Linked DNA regions of Sus scrofa. The protein of the gene in region 2 interacts with the protein of the main gene of each other region in a pairwise test. Links are inferred from orthologs where the notes say so. Each region holds a gene or a part of one and is shown on either strand. Other genes may lie near its edges. The genes, in order: CXCL16 and TMEM239.

Region 1 (11,996 bases), on a different chromosome or scaffold from region 2:
ATATTTGATGCCACAGGAACATAATGAAGCTGAGGATCTAAAACAGAGAAAGAAATGGAGAGATGAGCTCTGAGAAGTTGGAGGGGCAGGGGAGGGAGCGGAGGTGATAGCTGAACTGGGCAATCAGATTCCAAAACATTAACTATATGACCAGGTACACAGTAGGTGCTCAGTAAAGACTTATGAGTTGAATAAATGGCTCCTCCACTCCTCCACAGCTTCATCTCCCACTAGGCTGCCCCAGCTGCCATCTGTTTTTTTTTTTTTTTGGTTGGTTGGGTTTTTTTGGCCACAGTCGCAGCATGCAGAAGTTCCCAGGCCAGGAACTGAACCCACGCCATGGTGGTAACAACGCCAAATCCTTTAACTGCTAGGCCACCAAGGAGCACCCCCAGCTGCCCTCCTGATGTTGCTCTAAGCACAGCCTGGCTCTGAAGGCCAAGCACTGGTCCCTGAGGCTATGGTGGCTTCCCTCCCTCCCCATCCGCGGTCTGGCTGACTCTTCCCTCCCTGGCCTTTCATCCACGGTGCAGACACCCTCCATGTTTGTCTGCCTGGAGCTACCAAGGACAGGATCCTTGCCAGGAGGGCTCTGGGTCCCTGGAGGAGGGATGAGAGGCCCAGTTTACCTGGAGGGTACTGACGTGACTGCTCCTGCCTCTTCTTGCACATCACGTAAAGTAGGACTCCGGTGAGAAGGAAAATGATGACCAAGAGGGACAGCACTGGCACCAGGGCTGATGTTCCCGCTGTAGCACCCACATTTTTTCCTAGCTGCTCCTGGTTCTCCCTGGCCTCAGACTTAGCCCCCAGACTGTGGCCCACAGTGGATGTGTCGGTTTCACTGGTGGGGATGAGCTTTTTGGCCAAGGATGGCATGCCTTCTGGAAGCGTGGGCTTCTGGGTCGGCTGCAGGGTAGATGGCAGATTCGTCTGGGCAGGGGTGCTACTGTCTGGAGGTGCCCTTTCTGGGAGTTCAGGAACCCGGGTGTTCTGAGGAGCTAAATGCTGCTGGTGGGCCACCGTTCTGGCATGAGCACGTCCACATTCTGTAGAGGCAAGAAGCAAGGAATCAAGACGATGAGGAGACAAGGTGTAGAAGTAGGTAGGAGGGAGGGGAGCGGGTCAAGGGGACCATCAAGGGAACAGGTAAAGGCCAGAAAAGGAAGGCAGGGGCAGAGGGAGAACAGGGAGAAGGAAGTAAGCAAACCACAATGTGGAACCACTGGGGCGAGTGTGCATTCTGAACCGGGAAGTCAGGAGATCTGAGCTGGAACCCAGGCTCTGCTACAAGGTAGCTGTGGCTCTGCCCCTTGTCTCTGAACCTGTCTGGGATTCATTTCTTTCAGCTGTAAAGTAAGGATCATTTTAGTACCAAGGGCCAGAGTAGCCAGGAAGAGTAAAGGAAATAATGAGTCTACACAGCCAAAAGGCAGTATGGGGACCACCAACACTACAGAAGACAGCTTTAGCTGGGACCTGGAAGTACCTTTTGTGTTTTTTTTTGTTTTGTTTTGTTTTGTTTTGGTCTTTTTAGGGCCACACCATGGCACATGGAGGTTCGCAGGCTAGGGGTCAAATCAGAGCTGCAGCTGACAGCCTACACCACAGCCACAGCAACACCCGATCCAAGCCTCATCTATGATCTACACCGCAGCTCACAGCAATGCCAAATCCTTAACCCCCTGAGCGAGGCCAAGGATCAGTTCTGCCTCCTCATGGATACTAGTCCGGTTCGTTACCACTGAGCCACAATGGGAACTCCATGGAAGGACATGTTGTGTTTTACTGCTTGTGTATTTATTTTAGGAGAAAAATACAACCAACATATGAAATTTGTGACTTCACAAATGCTTTTGCTTAGGACAAGCTGACATTAAGTTTTTCAAAAGTGGCTGTGCAGGAGTTCTCCTGTAGCACGGCAGATTAAGGATCTGGCATTGTCACTGCTGTGGCTCAGGCTGCTGTTGTGGCATGGGTTTGATCCCTGGCTTCAGAACTTCTATGTGTCATGGGCACAGCCAAAAAAAAAAAAAAAAAAAAAGTGGCTGTGTACACCTAAGATTTACTCATTTCATTGCAATTTTTACCTCAAAAGAAAAAAAAAGGAGCAACAAAATATAAAACACTCTTAATAATATACATGACAAAATGTCACAGAATAAAGTGTAGTCAAGCCTGCAACTTGCTTGGTAATGCCCAAAATATAGTAGCTGGACTGATGAGGGATGGAGGGGGACAGACAGATGGGTGTGCAATAAAGCAAATAGAGTTAAAATGCCATGAACTTAAATGCCATAAAATATATTTGCTTTGGAGTTGCCACTGTAGCTCAGTGGTAACGAACTCAACTAGTATACATGAGGACTCGTTCGATCCTGGCCCTCTCAGTGGGTTAAGATTCGGGCATTGCGGGAGTTCCCGTCGTGGCACAGTGGTTAACGAATCTGACTAGGAACATCCCTGCCCTTGCTCAGTGGGTTAACGATCCGGCGTTACCGTGAGCTGTGGTGTAGGTTGCAGACACGGCTCGGATCCAGCATTGCTGTGGCTCTGGCGTAGGCCAGTGGCTACAGCTCCGATTCGACCCCTAGCCTGGGAACCTCCATATGCCGTGGGAGCGGCCCAAAGAAATAGCAAAAAGACAAAAAGACAAAAAAAAAAAAAAAAAAAAAAGATTCGGGCATTGCGGTGGCTGTGGTGTAGGCTGGCAGCTGTAGCTCCCATTCCACCCCTAGCCTGGGAACCTCCATATCCCGCGAGTGCGGCCCTAAAAAGCAAAAAAAAAAAGAAGAAGAAGAAGAAGAAGAAGCAAGTACACAGAATAGGAATGTGAGGTGACTAAGGGCTGAGGCAAAAAAAAAAAAAAAAAAAAAAGTGCATTCCAGCTTGCTGACCCCTGGTGGAGGGCAGGGGACTCACCTCCGCGATCAAAGCAGCCCATCAGTTTCAGCACCCACTGGTCACTGCTGCCTCCACATACACTCCCACGGGGTAGCTGGAACCTGCGAGGAAGGACTCAGTCTCAGCGGTCTCCCCTCTCCACCTCCTACCCCTTTCCCAGCTCTTTCCTCGTTCCAAAGAAGTGAGGTCATTGCCAAGATTCGGCAGTTTCTGCTGGGACTCGGACATTCCAGGTGGGAATTCAGGGAAACGAAGGTGTGGAGAATTAGGGCAAAGATAACCCCGAGAGAGGGCCAGAGCTCCTCCCAGAAGGAGTTCGAGTTTGACCACAGAGGGTCCTGGAGACCCCGGGAGGCACTGCCCTTCCCGCCGGGGGTGAGATTACCTGACGTAGGAAGTACAGTGTTGATAGTGGTTCAGGTATTTCCGGAGATGTCTCATGTCGTGATCGGTCGGAGGGGAGTGGGAAGAAATCCTTCTATTGCAAGGACAACTTCCAGCCATGCTGCCTTCGTTGCCATTGCCTGAGTGGGAACGAGGCGGTCAGCACAGGTTGGACTCAGCCTCCAACCCAGAGCCCCAGTGCAGCCTCTCGCCTAGACCTCAGGATCTGCCCCCAGGTTCAACCCACACACCACACTCCGCAAGTACGTCCGCAATCACACCTGGACCCAGGTGTTCCCCAGCCTGTTCCCCAACCCCAAGCAGCTGGTCCTTGGGGACCCTGGCTCCCCGCTTCTTCAACCCAACCCCGTGGACCCAGTGCTCCCCACCCCTTTCCCGGGATTTGGGGATCTGGGCACCAGCCGGGGCCTCCCCGAACCTGGTGGAGTCAGCCACGCTAGAAAGAGTGCGAGCAAGAAGAACCAGAGTTCCCAGAGCGGCATCTTCTCCCGGCGGCCTCGCCCGGGCTGACACCCAGACGAGCTCGGGAGCCTGGCGTCCAGCTGCTTTCTCAGGAGCTTTCGTTTCCTTCTCCCGCTCCGCCTGACCATCGGCGAAGGCGGCGCGCGAAACGGCCGCGCCTCCCTCCCGGCGCCCTCACCGGCGCCCCCGGGGCCTCGAACGGACAGTACCGTCGAAGTCGCGTGATCGCCAGCCTGGGCGGCGGGGAAACTCCGGGAGGCGGAGCTCGTCCGCCCGCGCCCCCGCGCCCCCGCGCCCCCGCGCCCCGCCCCCGCGCCCCCGCGCCCCCGCGCCCCCGCGCCCCCGCGCCCCCGCGCCCCCGCGCCCCCGCGCCCCCGCGCCCAGCCCAGTCTCGTCGAGGGGCAGCCAGGAATGCACGAAGGCGAAAGAAAGCGAAAGAAAAGCCCAGGCTGCCCGGCCAGTGCCCGCTGGGCTGATCCGGTTCGGTCCCGGAATGCCAGCCCCGCCAGCCCGCCCTCCCCGCGATGAGAGGCTCTCACTTTCCCAGCCCGGGTCTGGGTGCGCCGGGATCCAATCACACCGCCGGCGTGATGGCAGCAGGCCAGTCCGCGCGCCCAGTCCCTTAAGACACATTGGGGGCGGCCTCCGAGCCGCGAGGGTGCAGGGGGCGTGCCACCCGAGGACTGGGCTGGGGGCTCGGGCGCCCTGACGTCACGCCCCAACCCGAGGTATTTACCTTCGAAAAGAGGTGGCGGCTGCAGGTACCGGAGTAGTGGAGCGGCCGGGAGGGGCTACGTGTACCGGGGCGCACCGCCAAACCGCTCCAAGTCGAAGGGAAGCCCGGGCTCCTGCTCCCTCCTCCCAAACCCATCGACGGATCCAAAATTCTTCCCTCACCAAAGCCTTTGCCATAGGATTGGCCTTCCCTTCCCTCTAGCCTCATCTCAAACCCTACCTTTGAGGATTTGAGCCTCAAATACCATCTCCCTCCTGACGACTCAGCCTTAACCCTCATCACCCGCTTTCACGTCTGGCCCCCATTTTCATCCTGAACTCCCATCCTCAGCCCTGAAAACTCCATTCTCCATCCCAACACTCACCCACAGATTCCACCGCAAGGGACCCTTAAACCCACACCCTCCCCCCTGTTGAGACCCAGCCCCAAACTCTCCCCCATACCTCTCCCTCACCATATATCCATTCCTCTGCTCAGCCTGGGCCCAGGTCCTGTGCCCCTGAAGACATGGAGTTTGTGTCTGGATACCGTGATGAGTTCCTTGATTTCGCTGCCCTTCTCTTTGGCTGGTTCCACAAGTTCATGGCGGAGCGTGGGGCTGTGGGGACCAGCCCCGAGGGCCGCTGGCAGCAGCTGGAGGCTCAGATCAGAAGGCTGCCCCAGGACCCTGCCCTTTGGGTGCTCCACGTCTTACCCAACCGCAGTGTGGGCATCAGCCTGGGGCAAGGGGCAGAGCCGGCCCAGGATCAGGCTTGGGGGCTGCCCGGCTCCTGGGAGACGAGCCCCCACTCCACCTGCGAGACCTAAGCCCCTATGTCAGTTTTGTCAGCCTGGAGGAAGGGGAGGAAGGGGAGGAGGAGGAGGAAGAGAACGGAGAGGAGGAGGGTGCAGGTACCAAGAAGGTAGAAACAGAGGAGGCTGGGGAGGCAGCCCCTCCCAGCAGGCAGTCCCCGCAGGAAGCACACCCTCCAGGGGAGCCGGAGGAGGCCAAGCAGGAGGCAGGAGGTGGCGAGGACGGCTGCCAAGAGGACAGGGCAAAGGACGAACCTGAGAGGAGGAAGGGACGGAGAAGTGGTAAGACTCCAGGGGTGGCCCTACCCTGCTCCCTGCCCAGGCCTACCCCCCTTCTGAGCCCTCCTGTGCCCCTCAGAATCCAGCTAGGAGTCACCAACGGGTGGCCCTCAGGCCAGTCTGGCCTGAAAAGGTGTTTCCATTGATCCACAATGATTTTTTGTCTTTTAATTTGGGCTACTATGTAAACATCAAAAGAAAAAAAAGCTGCAGAAGTTTATCTATAGTTAGTTACACAGTCTCGAGACAAATTTAAGGTTCCATCAGCAGGACCACGATTCCCCGGCAGCAAATGCTGGTGCTGCGCAGCATCTGTCCCCTTCCGATGAAGCATGCCCTCTCCTCCTAGTCCCCTCCCTCAGGGTGCCTGGCCCTGACCGTCTCTGCTGCCACCCGCCCCTGGCTCTTCCCTTCTTCCCCAGAGGCTGCCCCCCTGCACCTTTCCTGCCTCCTACTGGTGACAGATGAACACGGCACCATCTTAGGCATTGACCTGCTAATGGATGGAGCCCAGGGGACTGCAGGCAGGGGCTCAGGGACTGAGAACCTGGCTCCTCGGGCCTATGCTCTCCTCTGCCACAGCATGGCCTGTCCCATGGGCTCTGGAGACCCCCGAAGGCCCCGACAGCTTACCGTGGGAGATGCCCGGCTGCATCGGTACAGATATCTGGTGGAGGGTGGGGAGGGCCTAGGGGCCCGGGCTCCTAAGCTCCCCTGCCTGACTCCATCTCCACTCCCCATCAGAGAGCTGGAGAATCTGGTCCCCAGACTGGGAGTGAAGTTAGCCAAGACCCCAATGAGGACATGGGGTCCCCGGCCAGGCTTCACCTTTGCCTCCCTTCGGGCTCGGACCTGCCACGTTTGTCACAGGCACAGCTTTGAAGTGAAGCTGACACCCTGGTGAGCGGCCTGCAAAGATGGAGTGAGAGGGGAGTTCCCGTTGTGGCACAGGGGTTAACTAATCCGACTAGGAACCATGAGGTTGCGGGTTCCATCCCTGGCCTTGCTCAGTGGGTTAAGGATCTGGTGTTGCTGTGAGCTGTGGTGTAGGCTGCAGACACGGCTCGGCTCCCGCGTTGCTGTGGCTCTGGCGTAGGCCGGTGGCTACGGCTCCGATTCGACCCTGGAAATCTCCATATGCCGCGGAAGCAGCCCTAGAAAAGGCAAAAAGACAAAAAAAAAAAAAAAAGATGGAGTGAGTGGGAGGAAGACCCCAACAGTCAGGCAAACAGAGAGGAAGCAGGCTGCTGGTGGGTGACCCTGAGGAAGACAGAGCTAGGGACAGGGAAGCACAGTGATGAAAAAAAAAAAAAAACACCCCAGGGAGTTCCCGCTGTGGTGCAAGGGGTTCGGGGGCGTCCCTGAAGCGCTGAGGCGCAGGTTCCATTCCCAGCTCGGCACAGTGGGTTAAGGATCCAGCATTGCTACAGCTGGCTGGGGAGCTCCATATGCTGCAGGATGGCCAACAAAGAAACAAACAAAAACCCAAGCTATTATAGGCGCAGAGAGTATGAACAGACTGAGTGACATACAGACAGCTGCAGGACAGATGGATGGCAGACAGGGGACCTGCTAGGACTAATATTGGGTGTCCACTGCCCCCTGTGACCCCAGCCCCCAGTGTGGTGCTGTCTTATACTGTGGAGAGGCTTGTCTCCGGGCGGATTGGAAGCGATGCCCAGATGATGTGAGCCATCAATTTTGGTGCCCAAGGCTTGCAGCCTTCATGGAGCGGGCTGGAGAACTGGCAGCTCTACCTTTTACCTACACTGCAGGTACCATAAGGAGGTCAGAATGGGCGGGGGGAAGTGGGACCAGGTCTTTGGACCTGGGGCCTTGGGTTTGAAAGCTAGGCTTGAAGGCCAAGTGCCGGGGGGCTGGAGTATAGATCCCAGCTAGGCACTGGTTATTTGGGGCTGGGGGCTAGACACCTGGGGCTAGAGACAGCAACTCTGGAGCTGAAGCCCGAGTGCCCATGGTCCCTGAGAAAGCTTCGGGAATTCAGGAGTGGGGATTCAAATACTTGTTTCCCTGCTCTACCACTAACTGATGACTTTAAATCCCTTAATGGCTTAGAACCTCAGTTTCCTCATCTGTAAAATGGGGAGATGTTAAACAAATGTTAAAATCCATGGAATTGTTTTAAGGATTCTGTGGGCTCCATGCCTGCTACACTGGAGATACTCAGAAATGTTAGTTCTCTTCCTGCCCAGAACCAGGCTCAGACCTAGGGTCCTGGGGAGCAACTGGGGAGAGTTCAAGTCTGGAATCCTGGCCACTGTGCTCTCATCCCTTCCCCACGTCCTTCTCCAGAGGTGACCAGTGAAACCTTTAACAAGGAGGCCTTCCTGGCCTCCCGGGGCCTCACTCGTGGCTACTGGACCCAACTCAGCATGCTGATTCTAGGCCCTGGCACCCCCAGACAGCCCCGTGGCACCACGCCATCCCTCAGCCTTCTTCTCAGCGGTGCGTGGGGCCCCTCTGTCTACAGGGAAGGATGGGAGCCCACAAAGGTGTCGGGGCCTAGAAAACCCCGCCGCAGACACACCCAACTCCACCCACCGTCAGCACCGGGCACTTTGGGCCTTTCCCCAACCCTCAAAAAAGTCACCCTGGCCCACTGCATGCAGAAGCCCCATCCCGAGGCAGCTTCCCATTCCTCCTGCTGCCAATCCAGGCCCTCTGGCTCTCAGGGAACACAGTTCCTTTGGAAGAAGGAGAGGCCGAGTGGGGAGCTCCCTGAGGCCAGGCTCATCTTCTTTAATTCTCTCAGGAGATCCCTACCAGCTTCTGCAGGGGGATGGGCCTGCCCTGATGCCTCCTGTGCCCCTAGATCCACCCAGGAGCCTCTTTGGTGAGCTGGAGGGGCCCTGAGGGAGCCAGGGGTAGGGACAGGGACTGGAAGGCCAGCCATCTGGGTGGCTGAGGAAATAGACTATTGGACTGGAAGGGTTGGGGATCAAGCCTGGGACCAGGTCCCTGGTAACAGACTCTCCCCAGGCTCATGGCAGGCTTACTACACATGGCGGGGCCTCGGCTTGGACTCCCCCATGGCTGTGCTTCTCACCTACCCGCTGACTGTGTACTACGTCATCACCCACTTGGTGCCCCAGTCCTGTAAGGAGGGGGGGCAGGGGGAGCTATGCAGGCCGTGGGGGGAGGGGGCAGGGAGTTGGTAGGGGTCGGTCGGGGTGGGGTGGGAGGGAGACCACATTCTTAGATGGTGAGCTTATCACCCAGTCCCTGAGCTCAACATCCAGAACAAACAGTCACTGAAAATCCATGTGGTGGAGGCCGGGAAGGAGTTTGACCTTGTCATGGTATTTTGGGTAAGTCCCTCCAGGCCTTAAGGTTGGGCATGTGGGGTGTGGAGGTGGGTGCAGGCTGGGACCCAAATCTGTTCTCTCTGTCCCTCAGGAGCTCTTGGTCTTGCTCCCCCACGTGGCTCTGGAGCTGCAGTTTGTGGGTGACGGCCTGCCCCCCGAGAGTGACCAGCAGCATTTTACCCTGCAGAGGGTGAGGGCGGAGGGGGGCCCTGCTCTTCAGCCCTGACGCTCCTGCTGCCCTCTGACCCGGCCCTGGCCTTCCGATCCCTGCCTCCTCTCCCCCATCTTACCTGATGCACCCTCACTTCCACTGGCTTCTGCACCCACTTCTAACTCCCCAGGATGGCCCCGAAGGATCTGTCCGTCCCAGTTCCGGGGTATCAGCACGGCTCAGCTCTGGGATGAGGGAGAAGGGCGGCCGCAGGGACCTGCAGATCAAGGTGTCTTCGCGGCCCTACCACCTGCTGCAGGGGCCCAAACCCGACTTGGTTATCGGTAAGAGCCTGGGGCCGGAGGGTGGGGAAGATGGGAGAAGGGGGCCATGGGAGCCAGCTTCTCCCTGCTCCCCCTCTGTCCGCAGGATTTAACTCCGGCTTTGGTCTAAAGGACACTTGGCTGAGCTCGCTGCCCCGGTTGCAGGTGGGGGATGGGACCAAAGTCTCTTCTAAAAAATTCTCTTCTTCCCCATCATCCGCTCCACAGACCTGGGGCGAGCCCATGGGTCCTCCTGCCCCTCTACGTATCTGCCTCGTGCCTCTCCCAGTCTGTCTGGGTCCGCAGTTGTCAACCCGGGCTGCCGTCCTTGGTGCTTGGGAGATTTGAGGGGGTGGGGGCCTTTCCGAGAGTGTGAGGCCTCGCCCCCCCCCCCCGCCCCAGTCCCTCCGAGTGCCGGCCTTCTTCACCGAGAGCAGCGAGTACGGCTGTGTGATGGACGACCAGACCATGGCGGTGGCTACAGGCGGGGGTACCAGCCCTCCGCAGCCCAACCCTTTCCGCTCTCCCTTTCGCCTCAGAGCAGCCGACAACTGCATGCCCTGGTGAGGCCTTCTCACTCCCTGGCTCTGCGTCTTAAAAGGCCCCCCTCTGCCTGGTTGTCTGGGACCCTCCTGGCTCCAGCCCCACCCCTGTGCCTTCTCGGCTCGCACTCCCAGCCAGCGCACTGGCGGGCCTCGACAACGCCCCTACACCTCTCTTTAGAGCCGGCTCACACAATCTCTCCTCGCCCACCCGTTTAAAAGGGCCCTGCCACCCACCCTCGGGCGGGTGGAGCCCGCAGTCTCGTCCCACCACCCCTGGAACTCCCAGGGGGCCACGCCCCCCGCCCCTCGGGAAACCCCGCCCATGGCCCCGCCCCTGAAGGCGCCACGCCCCCCCGCCCCCCGCCAGGTACTGCAACGCCTTCATCTTCCACCTGGTCTACAAGCCTCCGCAGGGCGGCGGCACCCGCTCGGCGCCGGTACCGGCGCCCCCCGCCCCGACTCCGGCTGCTCCTCCCGCCCCCGCCCGAAGGCGCCGGGGAGAAAAGAAACCTGGGCGGGGGTCCCGCCGGCGGCGGTGAGGGCTGAGAGGTAGCAGTGCACCGCCTCCCCCTACACGCCTCAGAGAGGAACACGAAACATGCGAGACCGAGGGGGGAGGCCGGTTGGCGGAACACGAAAAGGTGAATAAAATTACCTGTTTGAAACCATCGAGTCAAACGCTCATAATTAGGTCCTTAAAAGGGGAGAGGAGAAGCGAATTGAAGACTGACGTTTTCCTCCAGCTTTTTTCAGTTCCTTGATGGCGGTGCCCTCTCTTACTGGGTATTCTGCTCCTCCTTGGTAATCTTAAACGTCTTCTAATGCGGGTGTTGATAAGTCATTTTCCCAACCAGTAACCCCTCAGGGACTAGATCCAAGGCAAAGAAAGACCTAGAAATAGAAAGTGGCTTCTCAGTGGCCTGGGACTCCCGGGAGGCATATAACCTCCTAGGAGCAGAGGCAAGCCTCAGTTTATTTTATTTTATTATTATTTTTTTTTAAGGGTTGCTCTCATGGTATATGGAGGTTCCCAGGCTAGAGGTCAAATTGGAACTGTAGCTGCCAGCCTATGCCACAGCTCACGGCAACGCCGGATCCTCAACCTACTGAGCGAGGTCAGGAATCGAACCCACAACCTCATGGTTCCTAGTCGGATTCGTTTCCACTGCGCCACAATGGGAACTCCAAGCCTCGGTTTAGATTCAGTGACAGACCCCAGACACTCAGCTTTCCAAGTTAGAAACCCTTGACCCCACCTTCTCCAGTTCTTCAGTTTGCATAAAGAACCAACGCCGGCTGAGTCAGATGCTGCTGGTCACTGAGACCCCATCAGTCTATGCCCAGTCCCATCGCAAACTCCACTATATCTTGTCTCACATCAGCCAGAGTATCCCTTCTAAAACAGACATTCAAGATATCACTCCCTGGGAGTTCCGTTGTGGCTCAGTGGTAATGAACCGGAGTATCCATGAGGCTGGGGGTTCGATCCCTGGCCTTGCTCAGTGGGTTAAGGATCCGGCGTTGCTGTGAGCTGTAGGTCTGTAGGTCACAGACGTGGCTCGGATCCCGCACTGCTGTGGTGTAGGCCGGCGGCTACAGCTCCGATTGGATCCCTAGCCTGGGAACCTCCATATGCCATGGGTGCTGCCCTAAAAAAAAAAAAAAAAAAAAAAAAAAAAAAAAAATCCCCATAACCGTGGGCTGGGCATAATGACTCTTGGGGGTTTTTTGTTACTGAAACTGGGAATATAATTATGAAGGAGTTGCTTCATTTTTTTTTTTTTCCCTCTTTTTCAGTCGCACCTTTGGCATGTAGAAGTTCCCAGGCCAGGCTTTGACCTATGCCACCACTGTTGCAACACAGGATCCTTAACCCACCGTGCCAGGGATGGAGCCTGAGCCAAAGCTCAGACAGCCCTGGATGTGTGACCCGCTGAGCCACAGGAGGAACTCCCGAGTTGCTTCATCTGGTATATTGGTATCATCAGCTTCCTGAACAAACTTTACTAAAATGGATTGTGAGAGTAACTAATTTAGGGGCAGTAGCTTTGGTAGTAAATGCTGCAGGGTGGA
Region 2 (10,473 bases):
CATTTGAAGACACAAGCCAAAAACTACTGTAAAAACTCCAGTTCTTAAGTTATTTATTTTTGCCTTTTTTTTTTTTTTTTTTAGAGTGGAACCCACAGGATATGGAAATTCTCAGGCTAAGGGTCGAACCGGAGCTGTAGCTGCCAGCCTACATCAAAGCCACAGCAATGCGGAATCCTAGCAGCGTCTGTGACCTAGACCATAGCTCCTGGCAATGCCAGATCCTTAACCCACTGATGGAGGCCAGGGGTCGAACCTGCCTCCTTATGGATACTAGTCGGGTTCGTTAACCCCTGAGCCACAACAGGAATTCCCAAGGTTTTATTTTTAAGATGGAAAATATTTGAAAGGCAATAGAGATATTTGCTCAGCAGAAAATAGTTTTCCAAGAGTTCCCTGGTGATTCAGTGGGTTAAGGATCTGGCCTTGTCACCGCTGTGGTAAGATCCCGGCTGGGAACTTCCACTCACCATGGTCCAGGCCTAAAAAAAAAAAAGGAAGAATAAAGAAAATAGCTTGTCCAAAGTTGGTTGCCTCCAGATCCTCATAGAACCTCACAAAAGACAAAAGACAGCTCTTTACCCCAGGAAGAATGGAATAATAGACTAGGGTGAGGACAGCAGTCCCAGAAGGTGAAGCCTGCTAGTTTGGGCTCTCCCTTCTCCAGGATGCTCATGAGCTCTGGCCTCGATGCCTCTTGGTTTCTGGCTGGGGGACCCAGTCTAGAGATTTGGGTTAAGGAGAAATCGAGGAGTCAGTAAAGTCTCCACTGGAAAGACAATGGGCCAGAGATGCTTCTCCAGGGCCCCAGGATCTACCCTCTCCCCCACTACCGGTGTCTCGGCTCTTGAGACACCCGTCCCCCGCATCTTTCCCTTCCCACAACCCCTGAGTCCGACTGGGTTAACCAGAGCTGGAGATCTCTGCCAGGACGGAGCGCCTCGCACAGAATCCTAAGGCTGCGATTCCAAGGGTGGGGGAGGGAGGGTGTCGTTGACGAGGATGGCAAGCGCCTTCCCTGTGTGGGTGCCCACAGCCCTCCGATCCCTGGCCTGGCTCGGGGTGTCCTCCCCACGCCAGATCCTTGCCCACCCCGCTCTGCCTCCGCGGTCTACCCGTCAGCTCGGCGTTCTCCAGTGGTCGCCCCGACTTCTCTCCCGGGCACCTGAGCCTAGGGGACTACGCAGGGTCCCGCTCCTGGGGCGACCTCCCAGCGCAGCGCAGCGCAGCGCAGGCCGCCTCCTCCGCCTTCCCAGACCCCAGGATCCAGTCGCCGCCCCCCTCCTCTGAGGCCTGCGGCTCCCCTCCCCCGAAGCGAATGACTGAGCCGCCCACTCCCCCGACCCCCGCTGAGCACGGGTCTGAATGGGAGCACCCTCTCCCGGCTCCCCCTTGCTGGCCCTGAGCGGTTTTCCCAGCGCAGCACCGCCTCGTTCCAGGGACCCCTCTCCTGCCCTCCAGGGTGGCCACAGACAACTCCATCTCAAATGGAGGCCCCATCCTTAAGAGCCCTCTTGACTCTGCCCTCCCAGACCCTCCGCGTCCCGAAGGCGCCTACTCGTTGCTCCCTGGTCCTTGTGGGCAGAGCAAAGTCCTACTGGGAGCTCCTGCTCCTAGGCGCCCCCAGGGAACGTGAATGCGGGGGTGCGGCTCTGAATCCCCTCTCTGCTTTCTCAGATGCAAGGCCCTGGGCGGCTGGACACCTCCTCCGCGCGTTTCTTCTGCTCCGCCTAATCGCATTCTTTTCCTGGCCAGGCCCCACTGGTTACTTGATCCCCACCCCTACCCCAGCCCATCTGAGTGAGCTTCCGGGTCGGGAGGGGAAGGGCCGGCAAATAAACCCACCCAACCGCCTAGGTTACCAGGCCAGTGGGACAGCTCTCCCTTCTTGGCCCAAACAGAAATGCTTAGAACTATATTCTAGCATGCTCATTCACCCCAGGCTTACATTTTAAAGCATTTTAAATCTAAACGGATGACTTTGTCTATATTTCATTTCATAATGGTATTATGTTCATGATATATACGTATGTTTGTGTCTGCAAGGTCCCTCACTCTATTCCCTTTAATCTGTATGCTCCACTCTCATTTGCCTGGCCCTGGAATTGGCCATTCCATTCTGTTTTTGTTCTTACTTAAAACAAAAAAAGTTGGTTTTGCTAGCATGCATTTTTTTTCTTGGTGGGGCACACCCTTGGCGTATGGAAATTCCTGTGCCAGGGATGGAATCTGAGCCACGGCTGGGCTGCGATTTACACCGCAGTTGTGGCAACACAGGATTCTTAACGCACAGTGCTGGGCAGGGATGGAAACCACGCCTCAGCAGTGACCCGAGCTGCTGCAGAGACAAGCCAGATCCTTAACTCACCATGCCACAGCTGGAACCCTGCCATGCATTTTAAATTTGCATAAAAAGAATTGTATTATTTCTCATTCAGCTTCTTCTCAACGCTACACTTTCAAGATCAGTCCAGATGGCTTCCACCCCTTCTAGCTGCTGCCTCTTCTCCAAGTGTTTATTCACTGTATTTTAACTTTTCCATGTCCTGCAGTCACCATTCTCAAAGGTGGCAACATCTTCTCACCTGGAGCCCTTCTCCAACAGTGTGCACCTGTGTCACCTGGGAGTCTCGTCAAAACACAGGCTCTGATTCATCAGGTCTGGAATGGGGCCTGAGACTCTTCATTGCTAGCCGGTTTCCAGGTGATGTCTATATTCCTGATCCTGGGACCATACGTTGAGGAGTTAGGCCATTATGGGCCTCTGTGAGTATTCATTTTTGCCTTCTGGGTCATAGGGTATGCATTGATTTAATTCGGTAAGTATTACCCGTCTGCTGGCTCCAGTCTGGCTGTGCCACCTTACCCCACACCAAGCAATGCAGGAGGTGTGTGGGGAAGAGAGGAAGGCCTTCTCCTTGCTCCTGCCAAAATCCGAACCCCCAGTGTGTCTGGTCTTGCCCCCCACCTTTTCTTTTGCTTTTTTAGGGCTGTACCCATTGCATATGGAGGTTCCCAGGCTAGGGGTCAAAGTGGAGAGCTGAGGCCGCCGGCCTATGCCACAGCCACAGCAACGTGGAATCCGAGCCACATCCTTGACCTACGCCACAGGTCACAGCAACGCCGGATCCTTAACCGACTGAGCAAAGCCAGAGAGCCAACTCGAGTCATCATGGATGCTAGTTGGGTGTGTTAATGGCTGAGCCACGAGGGGAACTCTTTAAACCTCCTCTCTTAATCAGAATGACCCCAAGGCTCCTGAGTGATGTCCATGGCCAGCAATGTACAGCCAAGTCAATGAGGGACTCAAGACTGGTATCCTGGCTTCATCGCTGACAGAAACTTTAAGAACAGGCATTGAGAAGCCCTGAGGTTTTCAGTTAGGCTATATTTCCTCCATCGCTTTCCCCATTAGAGTGAATTAGGACTCAAACAACCTGGCCTTGCCCTTGCCAGTTGCTATTTTGTGGCTGACTTCTCACCTCCAAATGGGAGAGTAACAGTGTAGCTGCAGTTTGTGGTGTGGTGGGTCTTAGCTATCTATAAAGTGCCTTACTTGTAAGAACTCATCGCCTACTGTTTTGTTTGGAGGGTGAGCTGATGGGTGAACAGGCAGCATCCTGGGCACGAAGGGATGTCATTTTCCAAGGCCCTCTTGGGGGCTGGAAGCAGCTTTTGGGGTTGGTTTAGAAACCCATGGGCTATGGTTTTCCCACTCACACAGCCGGGCAAGCATCTCCTGGCACCAAGGCCCAGCCCCAAGCATTTCACAATCAGAAGAGTTCAACATCGGCGTATTTTGAGACTTCATGGCATACAACCTTTTTTTTTTGTTTGTTTTTTTGGTCTTTTTTTGCCATTTCTTGGGCTGCCCCCGAGGCATATGGAGGTTCCCAGGCTAGGAGTCTAATCAGACCCTAATCAGGAGTCTAATCAGCCTACGCCAGAGCCACAGCAACTCGGGATCCGAGCCACATCTGTGACCTACACCACAGCTCACGGCAACGCCGGATCCTTAACCCACTGAGTGAGGCCAGGGATTGAACCCGCAACCTCATGGTTCCTAGTCGGATTCGTTAACCACTGAGCCATGATGGGAACTCCCATGGCACACAACCTTTTACCTCTTGTTCACACCCATCCATCCTCTGTTTACCATTGTATGGTCCAAACTGTATCTATGCCAGAACATTTCTCTGAAGCCCTGGAGAAGCTTTCTGCTCTTTAGAGTTTCTTATCTTCTGGCTTGTTGGCCTTTATACAAAGTCCTTCACACATTGGTATTATTGCCTTTGACTCACAACAGCTCCATGACAGGACCCACTTTATACCAAGGCTCAAAAGAATTAATTGGCGAAGGCCACACATTGCGTAGGTGGGTGAAATGGGACTTGTTTTTCCCTAGCAAACCTAGGGAGTCTTAAGCCGTAGGTGCTCTCTGGGAACCTCATGACCCTTGTTGGCCCATTTCCCAGACTTGAGGATGTAGACTGAGGCAGGAGGTAGGAAGTCTAGGGAGTGGGGAATGGATGGGCAGAAAATCTGGGAGGAGGCTTGGCTGAGGTCTCATGTGGCTTCTGGCCGGCCCTCTCCCAGCCAAGTTTCTGTCACTGGGCTCTTTCTAGAGCCTGGGGAAGGGGAAAGACGGGCTTGGCGGGGTGAATGACAAGTCCAGGGGCACCCAGGTAGATGTTCTCTGTGAGCTCGAAGCGGAGACAGTTGAGCAGCTGCAAGGAAAAGATGCTGCCAGCTGCTAAGGGTGTCCCAGGGGTGTCACCACATGCACGTGGGAGCTTTGGGTGGCCTGGCCTAGCTCTGCTCCCAGCTCAGCCTTCTGCCCTATGCCCTGGCCCCCCATACCAAGTACCTGGAGGATCAGCTTGAGAGAGATGCCCCTACCCTGCCAGCAGGCCCTGACCAGCCCCAGCTAGGGACTGAAGGTCTGGAGCCTGCCGAGGCAGGAAGGCCCTGGTCCCACTGCCCTCCCTCTCCCCTGGGCCTCGGGCCCTAGGCCAGGGCTCAACAGACACAGGCAGCAGGATGGGGTCGCCCTTCTATTGGTCCAAGTCCTGAGCAAGGCCTGGGTGAGACATGGAGGTGAGGAGGCCCACGAGGCTCAGCAGCGTGGAGAACAGCAGCAGGAAGGAGGCCATGAAGAGCAGGGCGGGGAGGGCACTGAGCGCCAGCAGCAGGACAGCCGGCAGCAGATGGCGCCACGCTGCAGCCACCACGGGCCACAGGGAGCTCAGTAGGTGGGAGCCGGTGGTGAAGAGTGCATGGCAGAGCATCAGCGCCAGCAGCAGGTAGAGGATCCCTTCCAGACCCCACAGCACACGCTGCAGCGGCTGCCGCCAGCCCGATGTGATCCACCACTGGGCCCAGCTCGGGGGCATGTGGCACATGCACCAGCGCACCCAGCTGTCCCGTGTGAGCCAGGCCGTCCAGGGCACAGCACGCTGTGGCCCCTCACCGGCTCCGGTGGCATCTGTCTCCACTCGCAGCTGCTGCATCACGGCTGGTGCACCTGGGGAGAGGGCCAGGCCAGCTGCAGGAGCAGCCCTGGAGATGCCTGGGACCTCAGGATGGGTGGGTGGGGGTGGTAGCAGGGGTCAGGAGGGTACCAGCATGGGTGGGGTGGGGCTTGGAGCTGGGGCCTGGGTCTTACCTCCTGGCAGAGCCACCTAAGTCATGTTGCTTCTTGCAGCGCCCAGGACGGCCTGGCAGCCAGAGTTGAGCTCCCACTCTCACTCCCCTCACCCTCCCCAGAGGAGCCCCATTGTGACCCGGGCTGGGGTGGGGTCCAGCCAAGAGAGGGTGTGAGCATGAGCCTTACCTGAGCCTCTCTCATGGACTCTCTGGACTGGCAGGGGAGTTTCTCATGCTTCCTTGTGGGAAGCCCTCTCCGGATCCCCTCATCCCTTCCCTGCTGGCTGATATCCAGTCCCACTCTGCTCTCTTGCAAGTCTTTCTCTCTGGACCCTCATTCTCTAGAACCACCCAGGAGGCCAGACTAGCCACCCCAACCTACGGGCTCTGAGATGGCTACCACATCCTCCTCTGGGCTCCTTGTCCTTTATCTCGGTTTTGGCCGATGTCCTCGGACTCAGACCTAGGTATCCACTGTCCCTATTGTGGGAGCAGAGGTTCCCCTGGGGTTCAGGCTGGAGGAGAAAGAGTATCCTTCCATCTGCCCAGCCCAGGGTGGAGGAAAGAAGGCCTGAGGAAATAGCATGGCCAGTGTATTTCTGGAGGACACTCAAGCCCAAGGATGGAGACAGAAAGCCAGGGCTAGCAGGGTCAAGGGCATGCCACGGGCTCCCAGGAGGAGCCCCAGGCCCAAGAGCAGCATCAGCAGAGCCTCCTGGAGGGCGAGTTGTCCTGTGCCCACCGTGGGCAGGAGTAGAGCCTCCACTTGTCCCGGACCCTCGCCGGCGCCCTGACTCTGGCCCCCTGTGAGACGTGGATGTGTGTGCTGTGGCCAGGTGGGACCTGCAGGCCTGTGGCGAGAAAGGGTGGCAGCTGGGCTTTGGGAGGTTGACCACTTGTGCACCTGCCCGCCTGCTAAGCTGCTGTGCACTTACCGGTGGAGCAGATCGAAGGCCAGGAAGCTGACGAGTAGCAGCAGCAGCAGCAGTGAGGCTGGGCCAGTTGTGGAAAAGACGGCCCAAATTGTCAGCCCCAGTGCCCCCAGCCCTAGGACACTGTCCAGGAGCTGGGCTGGGCTAGGGCCCCCAGGAGACACACATGGACCCACTGGGCTACCCGATCCTTCCCCAGCACCCAGGCCCCTGGGAAGGCCTGGGATAGAATAAGCAGGGCCCTTGGGCCTGGATGAGCAGAGCTGGGTCATGGAGGGAGCTGGCAGTTACAGCAAGGAATGGGGAAGGGTAGGAATCTGGGGGATGAGACCATGGGGGAGGGCGATGGGGGGCCCTGGCGGACACTCAAGGGTGAGCTCAAGCAGTGGAGAGCTGGGCTTCTCGGGAATCTCCTCCTCCCCACACACCCACCCACCAAACCCTCCTCATCTCCTCCCACTTGGGTCAGCCATTCTGGGGGGCTGGGTAGCCGGAGCATTGTGACTTATTGCCTGGGGGGCCCTGGGGTAGGGAGGGGGCTGCTGCTGGCTCTGGCCTCCTAAGTAGCTGCTGTGGCTTGATAGGAGGAAGCCTGACTTTGGAGAACTAAAGACTCATCCTCTTGCCTTTGCTAATCGTCCACTCTAGGGCCCTCCCGTGGGGATCTGTGTTGCTGGGAAGACATTCTAACCCCATCACTGTATGGGCAGCTCTCCAAGGGAGGAAGGGCTGCTTTCTTTGCCTTATGAGCTTCCTGGGCTGTGTGTCCAGGGGCAAGTGACTCAATCAGTCTGTCCCCAGCTCTCTCCCCAGAGAGTAGGATGATGCCAGTGGGCTCTTGTGGGGGATTTTTCAGAACTGCAGTCCTGGAATGCAGAGATAGACTCTGCCAGGAAGCAACCTGAGGCTTTCTGGGGCAGGGTTCCCATATGACCTGGTAAATGGGCCAGAGGGGGTGGGGTGGGGTTGACAGGAGGGGCCTCTTTAGACGTTTGAAGCACTGTGGTTTGCGGGAGGTGTTCTGGATACTGGGATTCCAGAAATGGCACTGAGAAGGTGAATGAAAGAGGGCCATAACCTGATAATCCCCAAACTGGAGATTACGTTTACCTTCTGAGGATGAAATTAGGGAACATGAACATGTATGAAGGGGTCAGTCACCGGGAAAAGAAAACTCTCCACTGCGAATCCGTAAATGGTTACAGAAGTTCCAGCACATCTCTGTTTAGAGACTTAAGAGGTGAGAGTGGAAATGGGTCATCACTGAGAGAGCTTAATTCCTGTTTACATATCATACTTTGAAGGAAAACTGATAGGGGCAGGGGTAGGAGGACAGTGGCCATACAACCTCCAGGAGAGGAGGAGACAGAGAAGAATCCAGCTTCGGAGTTCCCGTTGTGGCTCAGTGGTTAATGAATCCAACTAGGAACCATGAGGTTGCAGGTTTGATCCCTGGCCTTGCTCAGTGGGTTAAGGATCCAGCATTGCTGTGAGCTGTGGTGTAGGTTGCAGACACGGCTTGGATGTGGCGTTGCTGTGGCTGTGGCTGTGGTGTAGGCCGGCAGCTATAGCTCTGATTAGACCCCTATCCTGGGAACCTCAATATGCTTGGAGTGCTGCCCTAAAAAGACAAAAAGACCAAAAAAAAAAAAAAATCCAGGTGCACATCTGCCTCCAGTGGGTTCTGAACAAAGACTCAAGCCTGGTGGCCTTGACACCTTTGGTGGGAATGGGCTCAATAGTCCATAGCGCCAATGCCACCAGCCCTTGGGACCATTCATTGATTGCCTTTTCCTGGTTCTTCCCAAAGCAATAAAGCACGACATTCCAACTTAGTAACACATATCTGTCTAAATGACTATCAAGTGTGAGGGTAGAATAAGGACATTTTAAGCCAGACAAGGTCTTAAAAATTTGACCTTGTATACATTTTTTTTTTTTTAAAGGAAGCTACTGGAGGATGTGCCTCAGAAAAATAAGGACTTGAACTAAGAAAGATGACAATATAGAATTTTAAGAAGTGAGGTTAAATACAGGAGAACGATGATGAGAAAGGCTTGGGGTGTCAGCTGTGTTTCTAGATGAACAAAGCAAGCAACCTAGCCTGGAATCAAAAGATAGATGTTCCAGGAAGGACATCTGCTGATTATCTGCTATTTTTAGACGGATGTAAAATAAATGTTCAGTTCTATTGGAAGCTTTGGGATTGAATTAACAATTGGAGCCTAGAAAACCAAACAAAAATGATAAAACAAAGTAATTGCTAACTCCAGCAAACACAGAAAGTTGAACAATAAAACTTACATGGTCATAGTGTAATCACTGAATATTGACTGCAGTGATTTAGCTCATTTTGGGAGGATGGTAAGAGGGAAAAAGTATAAGTCTGGGTATTTTGGTGTGTGTTGGGGATAAGGGTAGTAGGAAAGCTAAATCCTTAATTCCACAGCAGGAAATCCACGATAAAATCCAAACATAAAAATCCAAGAAATAGCGATAGAAACATAAAGGTAAATACAAGAAGTAAGAGACAGAACTAAAAGTGGTTGACTTGGGAATAGAGAAGCATGGAAAAGAGTCTTCTATTTCTAGCCTAAGTGTGATTTACCTTTAAAATTATTTTCTGCGGTAGTTTGGTAAAAATGATTTAGTTTACAAAGAAAATCAGTTGCAAAGGTCGCAACTGCAGCTCTGATCTGATCCCTGGCTTGGGAACTCTGTATGCTGTGGGGCAGCCCAAAAGGATCCTATGGTGAAGATCAGGAATATACTCTCCCAGGATGAATGAAATAGCAATTTCCTAATGTTACATAGGTGTACTCTGTGGCTTGACATAAAATTTCCAGTGACAGCATCAAACACCATCAAACTCAGAAAGCTGTGAAGCTCATGCATTTTTGATGGAGCTGCTTTAAACCTCCATCTAGTGCATCTCGACCTTTAATGTGCACGGTGAATCTTCTGGGGTTGAATCCTCTGCGGATCTTGTCAAAATGCAGATTCTGGTTCTGGAGGTATGTGCAGGATTCTGGCTTTTTTTTTTTTTTCTTTTTGCCTTTTCTGGGGCTACGACCACGGTATATGGAGGTTCCCAGGCTAGGGGTCGAATGGGAGCTGTAGCCGCTGGCCTATGCCAGAGCCACAGCAACACCAGATTCGAGCCGCGTCTTCGACCTACTCCACAGTTCACAGCAATTCTGAATCCTTAACCCACTGAGTGAGGCCGGGGATGGAACCCGCAACCTCATGGTTCCTAGTCGGATTCATTAACCACTGAGCCACGAAGGGAACTCCAGGATTCTGTATTATTTTATTAATTTATTTTGCTTTTTAGGGCCACACCCATGGCATATAGAGGTTCCCAGGCTAGGGGTCGAATCCGAGCAGTCGCTGCTGGCCTACACCACAGCAACGCTGGATCCTTAACCCAATGAGCAAGGCCAGGGATCGAACCTGCGTCCTTATGGATGCTAGTCAGATTCTTTAACCCCTGAGCCACGACGGGAACTCCGATTCTGCATTTCTTTTTTTTTTTTTTTTTTGTCTTTTGTCTTTTGTTGTTGTTGTTGTTGTTGTTGCTATTTCTTGGGCCGCTCCCGAGGCATATGGAAGTTCCCAGGCTAGGGGTTGAATCGGAGCTGCAGCCACCGGCCTACGCCAGAGCCACAGCAACGCGGGATCCGAGCCGCGTCTGCAACCTACACCACAGCTCACCGCAACGCCGGATCGTTAACCCACTGAGCAAGGGCAGGGACCGAACCCGCAACCTCATGGTTCCTAGTCGGATTCGTTAACCACTGCGCCACGACGGGAACTCCCGATTCTGCATTTCTAACAAGATCCCAGGTGGAGTAAAGATCTAGAAGACGTTGATGTACAAAAGAGAGTGGTGAGG

The links.
Region 1: the proteins of TMEM239 (region 2) and CXCL16 interact in a two-hybrid assay, tested with the Homo sapiens proteins (2 studies listed by BioGRID). The two-hybrid records come from large-scale screens. The link is inferred for Sus scrofa from reciprocal best matches to the Homo sapiens genes TMEM239 and CXCL16.

What each region holds. Positions count from the first base shown.
Region 1 is NC_010454.4:52,138,000-52,149,995, reverse strand, and holds the start of CXCL16 (C-X-C motif chemokine 16 precursor), read right to left. Parts: upstream 3,792-11,996; coding exon 3,728-3,791; intron 3,429-3,727; coding exon 3,290-3,428; intron 3,006-3,289; coding exon 2,923-3,005; intron 1,050-2,922; coding exon 630-1,049; intron 38-629; coding exon 1-37. UniProt on the Homo sapiens protein: Acts as a scavenger receptor on macrophages, which specifically binds to OxLDL (oxidized low density lipoprotein), suggesting that it may be involved in pathophysiology such as atherogenesis. Induces a strong chemotactic response. Induces calcium mobilization.
Region 2 is NC_010459.5:32,833,106-32,843,578, forward strand, and holds TMEM239 (transmembrane protein 239), read right to left. Parts: upstream 5,985-10,473; coding exon 5,948-5,984; intron 5,829-5,947; coding exon 5,675-5,828; intron 5,584-5,674; coding exon 5,055-5,583; downstream 1-5,054. Other genes in the region: C17H20orf141 (uncharacterized protein C20orf141 homolog), read right to left, coding at 6,257-6,497, 6,582-6,850.